4 linked regions of the Drosophila melanogaster genome follow. The protein of the gene in region 1 interacts with the protein of each later gene in a pairwise test. Each region holds a gene or a part of one and is shown in the gene's direction. Other genes may lie near its edges. The genes, in order: E(spl)mgamma-HLH, ac, sc and Ubx.

Evidence for each region.
Region 2: the proteins of E(spl)mgamma-HLH (region 1) and ac interact in binary tests that used the Drosophila melanogaster proteins (3 or more experiments, as listed by UniProt).
Region 3: the proteins of E(spl)mgamma-HLH (region 1) and sc interact in a two-hybrid assay, tested with the Drosophila melanogaster proteins (3 studies listed by BioGRID).
Region 4: the proteins of E(spl)mgamma-HLH (region 1) and Ubx interact in a protein complementation assay, tested with the Drosophila melanogaster proteins (one study listed by BioGRID).

Annotation. Positions count from the first base shown.
Region 1 is NT_033777.3:25,997,488-26,001,478, forward strand, and holds E(spl)mgamma-HLH (enhancer of split mgamma, helix-loop-helix), read left to right. Parts: upstream 1-2,363; 5' UTR 2,364-2,455; coding exon 2,456-3,073; 3' UTR 3,074-3,274; downstream 3,275-3,991. Other genes in the region: E(spl)mdelta-HLH (enhancer of split mdelta, helix-loop-helix), read left to right, coding at 245-766. UniProt on the Drosophila melanogaster protein: Transcriptional repressor of genes that require a bHLH protein for their transcription. May serve as a transcriptional regulator of the Achaete-scute complex (AS-C) genes. Contributes to the neural-epidermal lineage decision during early neurogenesis.
Region 2 is NC_004354.4:367,787-371,754, forward strand, and holds ac (achaete), read left to right. Parts: upstream 1-2,244; 5' UTR 2,245-2,307; coding exon 2,308-2,913; 3' UTR 2,914-3,161; downstream 3,162-3,968. UniProt on the Drosophila melanogaster protein: AS-C proteins are involved in the determination of the neuronal precursors in the peripheral nervous system and the central nervous system.
Region 3 is NC_004354.4:394,055-398,606, forward strand, and holds sc (scute), read left to right. Parts: upstream 1-2,005; 5' UTR 2,006-2,122; coding exon 2,123-3,160; 3' UTR 3,161-3,443; downstream 3,444-4,552. UniProt on the Drosophila melanogaster protein: AS-C proteins are involved in the determination of the neuronal precursors in the peripheral nervous system and the central nervous system. Also involved in sex determination and dosage compensation.
Region 4 is NT_033777.3:16,730,988-16,736,843, reverse strand, and holds the start of Ubx (ultrabithorax), read left to right. Parts: upstream 1-2,417; 5' UTR 2,418-3,380; coding exon 3,381-4,146; intron 4,147-5,856. UniProt on the Drosophila melanogaster protein: Sequence-specific transcription factor which is part of a developmental regulatory system that provides cells with specific positional identities on the anterior-posterior axis. Binds the consensus region 5'-TTAAT[GT][GA]-3'.

The DNA of each region.
Region 1 (3,991 bases):
TGATGCTTCGTTGTGATCGTCGGCGTGTAGGAGCGTTGTGATCGCAGTGCGTGGTGGCAGTTAGGGGAGGATTTCGATTTCGCAAGTGTACGGCACCAGCAGCTACAAAAAGGATCAGCTTACCTTGCGGCAAGATCATTTCTCAAGTGACTACCGTGCAGTGCGGAGCGGCAGCAGCGACATCGCAACATCGCAACTTTATTTACAAACAATCACCACACCAAATCAAAACCCATTATACACAATGGCCGTTCAGGGTCAGAGATTTATGACCAAGACTCAGCATTACCGCAAGGTGACCAAACCCCTCCTGGAGCGCAAAAGACGCGCCCGGATGAACCTGTATCTGGACGAACTCAAGGATCTCATCGTGGACACCATGGATGCGCAGGGCGAACAGGTCAGCAAGCTGGAGAAAGCTGACATCTTAGAGCTCACCGTCAACTATCTGAAAGCGCAACAGCAGCAGCGAGTGGCCAATCCTCAATCCCCACCACCCGACCAAGTTAACCTGGACAAATTTCGGGCCGGATACACCCAGGCTGCCTACGAGGTCTCGCACATATTCTCTACGGTTCCCGGCTTGGATCTCAAATTCGGCACCCACCTGATGAAGCAATTGGGTCACCAGCTCAAGGACATGAAACAGGAAGAAGAAATCATCGATATGGCCGAAGAACCAGTTAATCTAGCCGACCAAAAACGTTCAAAGTCTCCGCGAGAAGAGGATATTCATCATGGCGAAGAAGTCTGGCGCCCCTGGTGAAGGGCATTCCATATATACGCAACCAATTAACATTGATAGCTTTACTACTCAGTTTCATTAAGAAACAATCCAAGTTTTCCAAGGTCTAGTGTAAACATTTGCCTCAGAATCGTATTTAGTTGGTAGTTGATTTGATATGATGTGATGTTCCTGTGATAGTTCTTAAGTTCGTATTTTGTATTTGATCTCCCATAGGCTTACTGATTCATGTATTTAATTCATTGTAATTTATTTCATCAACTTTGCAAGAGCTTCCCCACCGAGCTTCCACTTAGCCTCATTAAGAACAAATTTTTGTGTATGTTTTAAAATTATATTTTTCGCTTTACACCATTAAGTATAAGCCATGAACATTTGAATAATAAAATGAACGTAAACTGAAATTTTAAAAGCTTTATATTATTTGGAATATGAACATAAACAAGGTTGCTATAATCCATAGGTACATAGGTACAAAATGTTATAATATATATAATTATTATATTATAATTATAATTTATAAGCTCTTATTTAGCTTTCTTCGATATAAAAGATATATCAGATATATTTAAATATATTTCTAAAATCTAATTTGAAATATATAGAAAATATATATTTTCCTTGGAATTTTAATAATTTATAATTCTAAATACCAAATACCGTTATACTGTCCACTTGAATTCAAGTCAATTGAACTCTCCCCACTCCGTTTACAAATCCCTGTAATGCACCACCCATCCAACCATCCATCCATTACAAAGGTCCTGGAACGCGAGCAACTTACAGCCGAAAGTGTGTCCACAGCGAGCCACACGCGAGCAGCGCTCCAGGATCAGCATCGCTGGCCCCTTTTACATGGCGGATGGAGGGAGAGGCAGAGGTCCTGCCGGGTCGGGGGGATCGGGAAGTCGTACACGCATTAAGCGCACTCGACGCACACGAGCAATGTTCCCACAGGATCATAACAGCCGACCAACAAGTGCAGGATGCCTCTGTCCTTGTCCCTTCCTCTGCCACCAAACACGAACCCGATCCAATTTGGAATGCCAACGGTAAACAGGAAGTTGTCGAGGAATCGCAACGCCTCGTCCTTATCCTTATCCCCATCCCCCGGCGGAGGTCCCCGCTATCGTGGGAACCCCGGAGGACCCCGATGAGATGGCATAATGCAAGCAGTTCATTATCCTTATGCCCCTCACCCTGCCATGCCATAGTCAAATCATAACACACAAATCTAGAAACGGCAGCTGTTCGCTCTGCAAATTCCCATGCCCATGGCCGTGGCCATGCTCGGCTGCTTTTTGCGGGCAGGTGAGCGAGTCGATGTGAGAAACCGAGTAGGAAAGTGTTTCCCACGATCCTGGCAGCGATCCTGCTCCCTGGCCCGTTTGATAAGGGTGCCGGGGCCAACAATAAGAAATCGCCCGAACAATAAGGAGCGGTCTCAAGAAGCGGAAGGGTCGGTACCGAGCAACCCTCATGCCAGCACACGAAGCGTGTCCCCGTCCCTTTTGCTCCTCGAATGCCAGCACACACGACGACGACGACGATCCCTTTGGCCCATTTTTTGGGGGTTGTTTCTGGCCAGCTATATAAGGCCGATCACCGAAGGTCTAGCAACACACAACGACTTCGACTGTCGGAGCAGCAAGAGCTCAAAGAACTCAGCTTACATCGAAACTACAAAAAGAACAATAAGAAACACACAAAATGTCGTCGCTACAAATGTCCGAGATGTCCAAGACCTATCAGTACCGCAAGGTGATGAAGCCCATGCTGGAGAGGAAGCGTCGTGCCAGAATCAACAAGTGCCTGGACGAGCTAAAGGATCTTATGGTTGCCACCTTGGAGTCCGAGGGCGAGCACGTCACCCGTTTGGAGAAAGCCGATATCCTGGAACTTACCGTCACCCATTTGCAAAAGATGAAGCAGCAGCGTCAGCACAAGCGGGCTTCCGGCGATGAGAGCTTGACTCCGGCGGAGGGCTTCCGTTCCGGCTACATCCATGCCGTCAATGAGGTCTCCCGTTCACTCTCCCAGCTGCCCGGCATGAATGTCAGCCTAGGCACTCAGCTAATGACCCACCTGGGACAGCGCCTCAATCAGATCCAGCCAGCAGAAAAGGAAGTCTTGCCGGTGACCGCTCCACTCTCCGTGCACATCGCCAATCGGGATGCCTACTCCGTGCCCATTTCGCCAATCTCCAGCTACGCCGGCAGTCCCAACTCCAATACCAGTTCGACCAGCCATTCCCTGTTGACCACCATCGATGTGACCAAGATGGAGGACGACAGCGAGGACGAGGAGAACGTCTGGCGTCCCTGGTAGATAGGATTACTTCACACCACAACTGAAAAAAAAAAAAACGAAGGAGAGATCATAGAAAGTAAAAGTCTTCCGAGTCACTGGATTTCCACCAGTCGACTCCCACCTAGTTATAAGTAAACACCATAAACACACAAAGCTTTAGATGAGGACGCGCAGTTCATGTGATAACTAAATAAATAATAAATTATATAGCTAAAATTGAAAGATCACGACTTTTTCTGCCACTATCTAGTGACTCACATGCAAATTGCTCAGACACTCCCATGTCCAGACAGTTTCCAATTGTCTGCGGTCTAGAACGGAAACGCTAGAAACGCAATAGCACCTCTCTCTGTCCCCTGTAACTATTCGATCGCCCCACGGATGCACATACACGATCGTCGGACAAAAGAAAGCGAAAACAATGCCAAGGCCGAAACAAGAAGAATTAGGCAGAAGAACGAGAGAAGAAAGAAGTCCAAAGTCCAAAGCCGGGGCTACCGATACCGGGACATAGCCTATAGGCCAGTTGGTGGTTGCAACTCCAACACGTGTGCGGACAATAAGCGAAGGTAACAGAAAATATTAGAGTCTTATCTTTGAGCGTATCTAATCGAGTTACGACAATGTCGCTCAGACTTAGAAGAAAACAAATGGGCATAGAGCCGGCAAGGAACCCGAAAAAAAAACCGAAAACCAAAAAAGGGATCGAGTCATCATTCATCCCGCATCCGTCCTGATTTCGCTTTGTTCTCCTCAATTTTTTGTTGCCGTGATTCTCCCTGGCCACTCGGATAGAAAATCGTGTGCACAATGGTCAAGGTAAGCTATGGGCACATAATTGCTTCGGATCAGGTAAATGACTGCCTTGCCCTAGGGCAACTTTAAGATGGAGGAGCTCCAGCCGGGGACAGGATATCGGTTTTTTTGTTGTTTCTT
Region 2 (3,968 bases), on another chromosome or scaffold:
CTTTATTAACAATGTATCGGAATAAAAAACGTATTTTCTTTCTCACAGTGTTTCGCTGCTCTCGATGTTCGAGGCCAAAACCGTGGACCATTCATAAATTTTAAGCCAACTCATAAATACGGCAGCAAAGGCTATCAAGGTGTTGGTCTTACAATATCTCGCCGTGATGATGCCAGAAACTTCTTCCTTTCTGATTTAATGCAACGCCAAAACAAATTGTTATATTGGAGCCGCTTGCCTCCAGCAATTAATCAAAGCTCTCGCACTACAATTAATCAAAAATCGCCATCTTTCTTCGTTGAATTTCAAAAGGAGCTTGGCTTTTGCTCCTGGCCATAAATATTATTGCCAGTGGTGATATAAGAAATCGACCAAATAGAATTGGCGGCGTTAAAACGCTCACCTTAGATGTGACATCGTTTCGTTGACATATTCGCGTTGCTCTCATAAATCAGATATTTATATGGAGTGGGAAGTTGGGGGACTCAAAACCAAAACCATGGGCGGCTTTCGTCCTTTCATCGTCCGGAGATCGGTAATCTCTGGATGGCAATTTGATGGCCATGAACAGTTGACAGTTGACTTTTTATTTATTCAGCAGCAACATTTAATTCAATGGCACCTAGGCGTAGGCTCTACAGTTCTAAGCTCCCAATTTTGAAGACCCTAATAAACATGAGTACATACTTTGTACATACTTTTCATTTATCGGCTAGAATACCTGTACGATCAACATTGGTACTGAAATGTACGGAAGCTGTCCTGTAATCGAGGCCTTACTGTGTCGCAAGCATGCCGCTTTAAGAAGTGTGGAATAAATGAAACAACGTCAAGTAATCGGCAGACCGAGTCAATATTAATGACGACTTCATCTTTATTCGGTTGATACGCCATATATTCAGATCTCAGTTCTTCCCCCCTTAAGTTTATCCCGTCACGATTTTTCGGTTTTCTGTCGCAGGGTCTTAGTAACATTTATTGTACTATTTAGTCGTTATCAAGCAGAAAAGCTCAAGAAGAGCACTTGTGGCGCTAAGCGATATTCAAAGCAAAAAATAATAATAAAATTGCAAATTCATAAACCTGGTTGACACTGAATACCTTGTCTCAATGCTTCGCGGCAAATTTATATTACATCAACACGGATTTTGCAAGGTCGACCGGATATGTTTGATTTTATTAGCCTCTGGACATCTGGTATGTCTGTGCTTAGATGCCCTGTGATGTCCTTTTCACATGTAATGCTATGCAATCCCCCGGGGCTACAGCAACGAAGTGTTAAACGAGGCTCAGTGTGAGTTAGTGCCAATACAAATCTATTTCGGCACGGTTTCCTAGCGTGCAACCAGAATTCTGACAATGGTTTTAAGAAATAATGGGGACCTCCTAAATGCTTTCAAAATGCTTTCGGCTGAGAGGAACAACAACTGATACGTTGGGCATAAAGGCCCCGGGGCATTAGAAGTGTTAATAGAAAAGTGCCTCCGGCTGATCAGGTTTCGTTGCAGGACCGAATGGATCGCCGCCTGAGGTGTTGATGAGCTGGCCTTGAAAATTCCTACGACTTTGGATTCGAGCGACAATGGTCTAGTGTTTAAGATAATGTCCGAATGATCCAGGGATCGGAAGGTCATCAGTACATAAAATAAATTAAATTAAATGTATTAACATAAAATTAAAGATTTTTTAAAAGTCTAAAATACCTAGCCTTGTTAATTAAAGATTATTTTTTCGTAAACACTTTTGGTAGTGTATAAATTGTAAATGTCCCCATTTTTATAATTGTAATGACAGTCTATTCCACTAATTTTGTTGTATTTTGTTAGTTATACAAATTGGATGGCCACTTTCAATAGGAGATACAGCTTTTTACTTCGGAGGTGTTTTTACTTGGCTCTGATGTCTGGACCTTGTTGCCTTTTTAAACCGGTTGGCAGCCGGCACGCGACAGGGCCAGGTTTTCGTTTGGGGACGACAGGCAGCTGAAAATGAGCAAAAACACTCAGAAACTCTTCCCACTCGACAACGGGAACACTCAGGTCACCAACAGCTGCGTTTTACAGAGAGAACGAGAGATAATATTACTACCTCTCTATTAAAATCAGAGAAAACACTCATCTCAAGAGACGATCCTTCAGTGATGATGCTGTTGCACCTTTTCCAGGGGCAGGTAGGTAGTCACGCAGGTGGGATCCCTAGGCCCTGATACCTATAAATAGCCTGAACGGAACGGGGAAGGGCATCAGAACAGAGCCAGCGCTGAAGCAAGGAGCATCGTCACACAATAACGTTATACTATCTCTTAAAATGGCTTTGGGCAGCGAAAATCACTCTGTTTTCAACGACGACGAGGAGTCATCTTCGGCCTTTAATGGACCCTCTGTTATCCGGAGAAATGCCCGGGAACGCAACCGCGTAAAGCAGGTCAACAATGGCTTCAGCCAACTACGACAACATATCCCTGCGGCCGTAATAGCCGATTTAAGCAATGGTCGCCGGGGAATTGGTCCCGGCGCCAATAAAAAACTGAGCAAAGTTAGCACACTGAAAATGGCAGTAGAGTACATACGGCGCTTGCAGAAAGTTCTTCATGAAAACGACCAGCAGAAACAGAAACAGTTGCATTTGCAGCAGCAACATTTGCACTTTCAGCAGCAGCAACAGCATCAACACTTATACGCCTGGCACCAAGAGTTGCAGTTGCAATCTCCAACTGGCAGCACAAGTTCCTGCAACAGCATTAGCTCTTATTGCAAGCCAGCAACATCGACGATTCCGGGAGCAACACCTCCTAACAATTTTCATACCAAGTTGGAAGCCAGTTTTGAAGACTACCGTAACAATTCCTGCAGTTCTGGTACTGAAGATGAGGACATCCTCGACTATATATCACTCTGGCAGGACGACCTGTAAAAAAACAGATCAAATCTTCAGCTATTGCTAGTCGCACCCAACCATAACACACATCAAACCATTGATTGGCCAACAAGTATTACCTCAGCCACAAAGTATTTATATTCCCTAGAACTACCTTTTTGCCTTATAAATTAGTATTTAAGGTTTTATATAGTTTCTAAGGATAGTTTCTAATGGAAGACAATTTATATTTAAGTTTTTTTTTATAGCATACATTGAGGACATTAAACTGATATATATAAAATTTTAAATGAGTTTTTATTGTAAACAAAATTAAACGGTAATTAAAGTGAAACAAATTTATGTACAAAAGGAGTAAAATTCAGAAAAGTTTTAATGAACAAATGCTTTATGAATATGGGCGTAGCAATGTTTTGATACAAACTTGATCCTGTCCTGTATACCACAGGACACGCTTCCTTTTACCTGGTACATTCCTTTAAACGATCCTAGTATACGCTTTATTCGGGGTAAGCCCGAAAAAAGTATTCGAAACTGTAACCGTTAAGTATTTACAGATCACTAGCCAATGAAGATAAATTACAATAACATTTTGTAAACACTTTTGATCGAAAACGCCGATTTGCATAAATAAAGTTGGATTGAGTAGGGTGAAAAAGGCAAAATATTTACCTGCTGCATTTTTGCATATGAACCGGTCAAGGTAATAAGATCCTGAGAATTCACAATTCCGGAGAGATCGATCGATCGATCGATGAATGAACTAATTTTGAGTTATTCCCGCAATGCAGCCGAAACAAGCGAAAAAACAACGGTCGGCAATTGTTCAGATCGCCCCCGACAACGTTCAGAAAAATGAAAATAAGATCTGCTCAGGCATTCTGCACCGGAAGCCGCCGCGATGAAGCTGCTGCAAAAAAAACTCACGCAAGATACATATACTCTAAAAACAAAAGAAACATGGTTCATGGGTCTTTTCGGCAAATTCTTCACCATATTAGATCACTACATCACACACCAATCTATTCATTAGCAACAATAAAACACTAATAGAAATTGATAATTTGTATACCTAGTTCTTGTCTATTAAT
Region 3 (4,552 bases), on another chromosome or scaffold:
AAAGGATATAAACAAGGTAGTCCGAAAAAAATGTTTACTGGTTGTCGGGACAACATCGAAAGGTTACTTAACTTGCTTTCTGATGGTTTTCCTGAAGAACAAGTCTTTCGAAATAATAAAAAAAACATTATTAAGTTTCCGAAAATATATAAAAGACTTCCACAAAGATAGAGTTAAATTAACAATATTATATACTAAAGGAAATGAAGCATTTATGAAATATAAAATTTAAATCATTCAAAATTAAAAGATTCCTACACTAGGTACTATAATTTTGAAGGTAATATCCAATGCTTGTTCAAGGTATGAGTGGCATTTACATGCAAGCGGTGACCGGAATTGGACCTATGATTAATCAATTGTACCGAACACGCGATTATACCAACCTTGCTTATGACTCTCCGCTTCAAGGAAAAAAGGATCGCGTATATGCATTATATGCATTCCACTTCAGTTAAATGTCCGCATACACCATAGATCACACAGTTCACTGAGTGGAGTTTCTAATGACGACTTCAACCCTATTCTAGGCATGTCACCGGCATTTCTCCCAACCATTTATTAAAATGCTTCAATGGAATTTTGGAAAATGCGAAAATTTAAATAGAACATTGTGCTGCCAAAATTTCTGCAACACTCAAGAACAATGATAGTGTTAATGATGGTAAAATAATGGAAACCAACTACCGATCCCTCCGTTACAATGCAAAAACTAAAGAGTGGAGACTCCAAGCGAAGTTCAGCATGCAAAAAAGGTATTGGAAATGGTGAAAGGATTTTATTTATAGGAACAACACAGAGAAGCGCCGTTTGCTGGTCATGGTTGAAAAGGTTTTTTTGTTATCAGGATTTCGGTTTTCGCTTTGGTTTTGGTTTCGGATTCGGTTTTTGATTTTGGGATCCGGGGATCTAAAATTTGCCAAATAGAAGTGAAGAAGTGCTATTGCTGATGATTTGGCAAAAGAAAAATGCTGGCAGAAGCAAACGAGGGTAACGAGTTGAGGACAATAAAAATATTACACCTGGTCGCCGATTTGGCATCTTTTCACTCGCTCATCGATTGATGATCGTGACAAAATGAACCGATTTTTGTGAACAGAGCGGAAGTTACAATTTACAGTCGCCGTTTAGCACGACACAGTGGCCAATGGCAAGTTACAACAGTCTGAAATAATCAATTTATTATTTCAAAGAAGATGTATGAAACTTCATGTATGTCTAGTATTTCTTTACCTTAGACCGCATTATGTAATAGAACAAATAACAAGTATACACCGTTAAAAGTCAAATGTGTGAACATTTAATCAAACCCAGAACTAAATTATTCCCAAACAAATTAATATATTTAAAGCAACATCCCAGTAGTTCTAGAAAAAACACAAGTAGCCACAAACAAAGAACCGCAGTTTTCACTGCAAACTTCCTTCTAGAACTTGTGTCACATCCCTTTGATTTACTTAACAAAAAATTGTGATCCTTTTGATAATTTAATTGGAGAAATAAGTGAAATTGTTTGAACACCTTTAGGGAGCGTACTCCGAATGTCTAATAAGGAGGATCCCAGGATCTTCTGTCGATCCCTTGGATCCGTCCGGCGCTAATGAATAGAAGCGTGCGTGAGCTGCACATAAAATTGGCGATCGCGACTTTTGCTAAGTTAATTAACACAGAAATCAAATTGCTGGCGTGCCGTAGCAAAAAGAGCCCTCACTCAGATACCTTGATCGTTTTTCGATATTTCGAGTTGATATTTTGAGTTTAAAATTTGAGTGTTTCTTTTGGACTGTCGAGTGAGAACAGTTTTCCTGTGGGATACTCGAGTACCTGAGACAGAGAAAGAGAGAGAGACTACCTGTGGCTCACTCACTTCGAGTTCCCTACCTGTGCAGGTAGCTCTTGCCGTCACTCTCTCTCTCTCTTTCTCTCCGATTCTCTCGCCCGTTTCTCTGCCTGAGTGTTGTGCAGAGAGTTGCATAAAGGGTACATAACGCGAGGGTTTAGGACGAAGGGACTCATTCTTGTGTAAGGTGTCAAACGATCAAGTTCAAGTATTGTACTCTGTTCATTTATTTTTTTCTGTTGATCGTTATCCGGAAAGTTAAAGAAAGCTCCGAGTGTGTTAATGAAAAATAATAATAATACAACGAAAAGCACTACCATGTCATCGAGTGTGCTGTCCACCAACGAAACGTTTCCAACGACCATCAATTCGGCAACGAAGATCTTTCGTTATCAGCACATAATGCCAGCCCCTAGTCCATTAATTCCCGGTGGCAATCAAAATCAACCCGCTGGCACAATGCCAATTAAGACTCGCAAGTATACACCAAGGGGTATGGCACTGACCAGATGCTCTGAATCAGTATCATCTCTATCGCCTGGTTCCTCGCCGGCTCCATATAATGTAGACCAATCCCAGTCGGTCCAAAGGCGCAATGCTAGAGAACGAAATCGTGTAAAGCAGGTGAACAACAGCTTCGCCAGGTTGCGGCAACATATACCACAATCCATAATCACGGATTTGACAAAGGGTGGTGGTCGAGGACCTCACAAAAAGATCTCCAAAGTAGACACACTGCGCATTGCCGTCGAGTACATCCGGAGGCTTCAGGATCTGGTGGATGACCTAAATGGGGGCAGCAATATTGGTGCCAACAATGCAGTCACCCAGCTTCAACTTTGTTTGGATGAGTCCAGCAGTCACAGTTCGAGCAGCAGTACTTGCAGTTCCTCAGGGCATAATACCTACTATCAAAACACGATCTCTGTCAGTCCTCTGCAACAACAGCAGCAGCTACAGAGGCAGCAGTTCAATCACCAACCGCTGACAGCGCTCTCATTAAATACCAACTTGGTGGGCACATCCGTACCAGGTGGAGATGCAGGATGCGTATCCACCAGCAAAAACCAGCAAACCTGCCACTCGCCAACATCATCATTCAACTCCAGCATGTCCTTTGATTCAGGCACCTACGAAGGAGTTCCCCAACAAATATCCACCCACCTGGATCGTCTGGATCATCTGGACAACGAATTACACACGCACTCCCAACTTCAGCTAAAATTTGAACCGTACGAACATTTTCAATTAGACGAGGAGGACTGCACCCCCGACGACGAGGAGATTTTGGACTACATCTCTCTATGGCAGGAGCAGTGACTTAATCCCCAAAATTTACCACCACGCCCTATTTTCTTCTAGTCAATGTTGAGTTGAACCAAGTGCCTCAAATTGTAAATAACACTAATACAAAAACAACATACCCCCAATTTTTTTTTCTTACTTTAAGCTATTTTTTTACATTGTTAAGAACCACGAGACCAGTTTCAAATTTATATATTTATGAAATAACTATAGCATGGAAACGAAAACATATTTTTTTGCTAATACAATTTTATGTTAATTAGTTTTTGGTGGAAAAATAAAATGAAAAAATTAAACGAAAAATCATATTTAAGTTCTTTTCTCAAAGGGGATCCATCTATTGATCAGGTTTGTAAAACATTCGGGTACTACTTGCATTGCCTTGCAGTGCCGATGGGACCATGTGCAGCCGTTATGTACAATTAAGGTTGCTTTGCATTGGTTTTACAAAATCACTCTTATATCCAAAAATCATTAATACGAATTACAGATAACGCAAAACATAGATCAGTATTTGGTTTTAGACCAGTAGTTTCCTATTTCTTCAGGTAGTTTCTAAGAATGTCAAATTATCGCAGGTAAGACGATGACACCTGTGACACGTGCCACGAGGTTACTAGTTTAAAAGGTTACTAGTTTTACAATTACGACTTTGAAATTCAGATCAGATATTGAACTTAAAAAAGGAAAAGTGTCGAAAAAGCAATTTACAATTTATTCAATATAAGAGGAGTTCGTATTTATGTATACATTACTACTTAAATATATAAAGTGAGGTAGTTTTAACCCGATCAACACTTTTAAGACTTTTTCTTTTGAATTTGCTCAGCTTAACTATAGTTCCTAGTATTCCCTATAATGTACGGCCTTACAAAAAAGTATTTTACCCACTTTTTACACTTCTGAAAAAGTTAAATGCAAACACCTTACCCCAAACAATAACTAAGTTCTTCACTCCCACGCACCGTTGAGATGTCAGTCCGTTGGAATAAACCTCTTCCACTGGCCAGACAATAAATCACGTTGCATTAGAAAAACAAACGCATGGGAGAATGCGACTATAGACTATATTTTGACACATTAAAGGGCATCACAGACAAAGGACCTCATTGTCCTTAGGATCGCTGGATGCTCCAAAGGAAGTGATAAGGGATAGGGGATCTTTTCTTTCAATGTCAACGCTGACACTTGACAACTCAATGCAATTGTTTCGAATCATGAAAATGGGTTCTGGAATACCATTATTTTCTTTTGCGAGACTCTGTAGGCAAGGCTTAACGTTCAGCTCCGGAAGAACTTTCACCTTTCCTAAAGAATCTAAAGAAAGGCAACCTTTTTTTCAGCTGCGTTTTTTATTTTATTTGGTTCTGATTTAAAAGCGTAGTTTAATAGATTTCTCGGCGCCCA
Region 4 (5,856 bases), 9.3 Mb from region 1:
TATCCACTGGGCAACTGGTCAACCTCAGGCTACTTGGACAGGTGTGAGCTTTGCATTTAATCCCCCTTTTCGCGAAACGGAAGCTCTCGTAAATTGCTGCAACAAGCTACCGATGACAGTGAAGCGGGGGCGCTGGTGGTGGCCATATGAAAATGAGATCGCTTTGTATGCAAATGCCTGGGAATCGAATTGCGAATCGGGAATCGTACAATCTCATTGCGACTTTATGCCAAGACAATCGATGCCTCCCTTTTCGGGCTGCGTGGGCGTGGTGGTGGGGGCTTCCATTGTTAAAACGTGTTTACACATCCAGAAGAAAGAAATAAATAAATGCTGCTGCTATTGAGAGATGTTACTAGTTTCTAAGTAAAAAGTTCTTTTTATCTTAATCGTAATTTTGAAATTAATAGGATTGGTGAAAACTCTACAACAAAAACGTTTCCATTTTCTGGAAGAATTAGATTTCTCAGAACTAAAATACATCAATTCATAATCGAGCAGTAACTCGAGCAGCAAACTCGAGAATGCAGAACGGAGGAAAAAACAATCATCGATGTCGAACAAAAACAAAACTGCGGGTTCCAACTTTCTGCAGGAGGAGGAGCTCCTGCAGGAGGTAACGAGAGCAACGAGAGGAGCAGAAGCCACAGAGGGGAACTGGCGCTGCCCCATTGCATACCCCACCATAACGTAGCAAGTTTGAATATACTCGTACCCGTAAGATTCCCGAGTATATTAGGTAGCAAAATTTTTACGAGCTCATTATGGCTCATTTCGGCGATTGTTGTGATCCTTTTATGCGCCTTCGAATGGCTTCAAATGGTTATGAGGCTATTTCTCTGTCATCCCCGCGAGTCCTTCGCACTCGTGTCCTTCCCCTGGGTCCCAAATGCGGGATAGCGAGTTTCTGGGTCCTGGATTCCCGACTCACGATATTTAGTTTGCAGTTGCGACTGCGATTTTTACTTTACTTTTGCTTTGCTCTGGGTCTTCTCGCCTTTTGGCTTCGCTTTTCCTTGGGCTTTTGGTCGCATATTTAGAAAATGTCGCCGCGTCTCCGAATGTGATTCAAGTGTTTGTCAGTGTGTGTGTGTGTGTGTGTATGTGGTGGTGCGTATCTGTGTTTTGTGCAAGTTTTTGTATCTTTCGCTTGTTGTTGATTTTTAAGACTTGGCACCGAAAATTTGGTCGGCGGAAAATGGCGCGAGCAGGGGTTGGAAAAGTAGAAAAGTAAATTTCTTCTTATAATAAGTTTATTTTGCAAACACTTGTGGCAAGCAACTTTGTTTGGTCGCCGTCGGTTTCTGGCTTAATCTACGAGCCGTTTGTGCGAATGTGGAAACTTTGACAAATATTTGCGAAACTTTCGCGAATGGCGCGGCGTTCTCGGTCTGCAAGACCCCGATCTATTTGCATTATGCATATGAATTTATTAGCATCAATTCCCACCATATTTACATTGACATTAATATCCCATTGAAAGTATTGGCGAACGGATTGAACATTTGGATTCGAATGCGAATTTGAATTTGAATAGGAAAAGGAAAACCGCAGCACACAAATTTTCCGGATCCCTGGCTTCTATTACCGTACAATGCCGAGTTGGGGTTGACTTATTATCAATAAACTAATGCTAAACACGAGACTTTTAATAAATAAAAAATAATGTCTTCATTAATATATTATAATTCGTTTTTAAAGGCCTAATAAAGCCTTTAAGTGATAAGTATCTTTTTATGCCATACCACATTGAATTAAGCTTATAGTTTTTGAGGTAAAGGTAAAAACGATTAATTTACTAATATTTTTCTAAATTGTGAAACAATTTATACGATATTTACTTCCATAGAAATTAAATTAATAATTACAATATTCCGACTATTCTAATAAATATATTTTTTAAAACAAAAACTTTTTTGCACTTCGTTGTGTGCAAATTATTCCCCAAAATATTGAACAATTAAATAATGACCAGCTTAAACTGAATAGAATTAGATACAAATAATTTGCGTAAGCCATATTCTAGCACAAAGATTGGGAACTGAAACTGTAGTCATAAGTGCGCTAAAACCGAGCAAATACGGGATGCGCATCGTTTGGCGTGCAACTGGCAACTGGCGGGCAGCCCGTCGAGCGTTTTTCGCCACTCAGTTGAAGGAAAATCAGCCCTCCTCCATGATGAATTTCCCGCGGCGAGCGCATTTTCCTTCCTCGCGAATGAATGAACGAGAGGCGCCCACCCCGATAAACTTAAACTGAACGAACACTCAAGAGAGAGCGCAAGAGCGCTCAAAAACAATCTGGTTTTGAGCGTTTCGCTGGCTCTCTGTTTCTGTTTTCCACTCGTTTTTAGGCCGAGTCGAGTGAGTTGAGTCGGCAGAGCAAAGTCAAAACACTGGCAACTGCGATTTGGTGCCACATTCGTTCGATGGCAACGGATTGGATAACAGGCGCGCGCTTTGTTTTATTATCCACATTATCAGCGGCATTATTGTTATTATTGGCCCTCAGCGCTTTACCGCTCGCCCACGCGTCCGCCCGTGAATGCCGCGCGGAAAAGTCGCTTTCCACTAGATTGGCGTCCAGATTCGAGGAAATCCGTCAGCAGACGCATTCGCGCCCGTTCGGTCAGCACTATGGCTAATAATCGTTCAAATCGTTAAAACCATAAAAATAATAATAATAATTGCAATAACAATAAACATAGTAATAATCGTAACGCTTACGAGCCTTTGATAGTGCCAAGGCAAGCGCAATCCAAGTATTCAAATTCGAATTCAATTAACAGCAAAGTGCAATTGGCTAAAAACCGAAACCAAAACGCAACAAAGTATACGAAACACTTGTGAAACCGTACAAACAATTGTGGAAAAAAATTTAAAGATTATTAAGATTGAAGTCTCAATAAACATTAGTGCTTAAATAAATTTAAAACGACCCGCGTGGAGAGTGCAATAAAAAGAATAACTTTTGAAATAAATATTTACCAAACAGAAAAATATTTTATAAATATTTAAATAAGTGAAAAACAAATTGGTTACTCTGAAACAAAGAAAATTCAAATTGGTGCTAAAACAAAGGAGAAAAAATTTCAAGAATATTTTACAAATAATAAGACATATTTAACTATATAAAACCAAACTTAATCAACAAAGACTTGGAGTGAAAATATAAAATAAATTTTAAAAAGAGTTTAACAAAATTTGTTTAAATCCAAAGGAGGCAAAGGAACAGCACAGAAAGCGAGGAAACACTCAAATAAAATCCGCCAAAAATCGCAGATCCCTGGAAACCAATTCGTGTGAAATCGGTCAAGCCCCCAACGACTTTTAGCCCGTCTCAGACGGAGCACCGCCAAGATTCTTACCGCCAGCAGCGCAATGAACTCGTACTTTGAACAGGCCTCCGGCTTTTATGGCCATCCGCACCAGGCCACCGGAATGGCAATGGGCAGCGGTGGCCACCACGACCAGACGGCCAGTGCAGCGGCGGCCGCGTACAGAGGATTCCCTCTCTCGCTGGGCATGAGTCCCTATGCCAACCACCATCTGCAGCGCACCACCCAGGACTCGCCCTACGATGCCAGCATCACGGCCGCCTGCAACAAGATATACGGCGATGGAGCCGGAGCCTACAAACAGGACTGCCTGAACATCAAGGCGGATGCGGTGAATGGCTACAAAGACATTTGGAACACGGGCGGCTCGAATGGCGGCGGGGGTGGCGGCGGAGGCGGTGGTGGCGGCGGAGCGGGCGGAACAGGTGGAGCCGGCAATGCCAATGGCGGTAATGCGGCCAATGCAAACGGACAGAACAATCCGGCGGGCGGTATGCCCGTTAGACCCTCCGCCTGCACCCCAGATTCCCGAGTGGGCGGCTATTTGGACACGTCGGGCGGCAGTCCCGTTAGCCATCGCGGCGGCAGTGCCGGCGGTAATGTGAGTGTCAGCGGCGGCAACGGCAACGCCGGAGGCGTACAGAGCGGCGTGGGCGTGGCCGGAGCGGGCACTGCCTGGAATGCCAATTGCACCATCTCGGGCGCCGCTGCCCAAACGGCGGCCGCCAGCAGTTTACACCAGGCCAGCAATCACACATTCTACCCCTGGATGGCTATCGCAGGTGAGTGTCCTGAAGATCCGACCAAAAGTGAGTGTCCACTGCAGCACAAGTCCACTGAAAGTCCCCCGAAATCCCATCCCTTCTGTCCTCATCCCTGCAGTGCCAAAGCTTTGTTGTTTTCCCAGTTGTTATCAAGCTCAACAGATTGCAGCTATGGCAACAAAAGTCATCCTGTGATTAATTGCCGTCTCTGCTCCAATTAACAGACAAGTCAACATGTAAGGCAATATAATGAAGAGCTCGAATCGATCATGGGAAAAACAGATAACAACTTGTAATGTAAGACATATGAAAGCAGGCAGAACAGACCTTTTTATGGCAGGTTCTTAGGGAAAAGACACAACACCTTATTGGCAATCAAAAACTTTAAGCGATTTAAAAAAAACAAAAACTAAGAATGTATTATGGTTATAGGAAGCCAAAAAACAGTCCTAGTTAATATTGTGTATATTCAAATTGGCTGAAAAGTTTAGAAAAAAAGATGTGATAATACTTGGTAAAAAAATTAAAAATTTTAATAAAAAATAGTAAAATTATATTCTTCAGAGGAAAAAAATTAGGACAAGTATTTTAGATTTATTAAGTGTTAAAAAGGCAAAAACCCCCTTGGCTAACTCAAAATTATTTTCCAATAATTCTATTTAAAGGCACCCATTTGCGTGGCCATAGTTTATTCGCTGGCCGCCAATTTCAGCGATTTAATCACTCTAAGCGAGATTTTATGGCTGTGATCTCGCTTAGAGTGATTAAATCGAGTGAAGAGCCATGAGTAGCTAAAATAAAAAAATAAAAAAAACCAGCTCAGACCCTTCGATTTCACCTGCTCCGCTCCGCGACACCTTGCAGCGCTACGTCTGCCTCATAATTTTCAACACTTTGTTTACTAATTTTTGTCACCTTTGCTTTTAATGATGCTCGGCGGTAATTGTTGCAGCGCTGGCAGCCCAAGTGAGCTGCAATTTGTGCAACAAGAGAGCGGCAACGAGCAGCGTGAGTTATGGCATGCGGCTTAAAAAGAGCTGCAAAATAGCAACGGAGAAGTCAAGAAATAGCAAAAGGCAGCAAAGGCAGCCACAGGAGTCGGCGAGAAAGGGCAAGAATCCTTTCAGGACACACACTGCGCGCAGAAGTCGCGCTTATTACGGTTAACTACGCCATTATGTAATTACGTTCAGCCCCTCACCGCTCGACTTTTCCACGGGTTTCAGTCACCAGCCGAGCGAGGCGAACGGCTTGCGTCTGGGCCGAGATTGCCGTTTGGGCCAAGAACAAAGCCAAGAGTAGGTCAGCCGAAGGAGGTCTAGGTGCTCGAAGATCGAACGTAAACTGCACTCAAGCTGGCACTAAAGAAATAGGGAAAATAGAGGGCTTACAAGTTATTATTTTCAAATTAAATAAATTGTTAACTTACAAATTATTACTTTTTTTTTAATTGTTCGAAAGACTCAAAAAATTATTTGTATTATCCGCTAATATTTTTTGTCTGTGTATAAAAGGGAGCTTGCAAAATACCCTTCAAAAATCAATCAAATTTCACTTATAGCCAACGCGAAGAGCTGGTTAAAAAACAATTAAAGTTGAACTAAATTCGAGAGCCTTGCGACAGGTTTTCCATCGGATCGATCCGTTCTGCAAGATGATCAGGGTAATGAAATTTATGCGCCGAGCCTGACCAGTCTGAAGTGTCGGTGATGAATTGGCCAGGCCAAGACCAAAGAAACACCATTGCCGAAAACC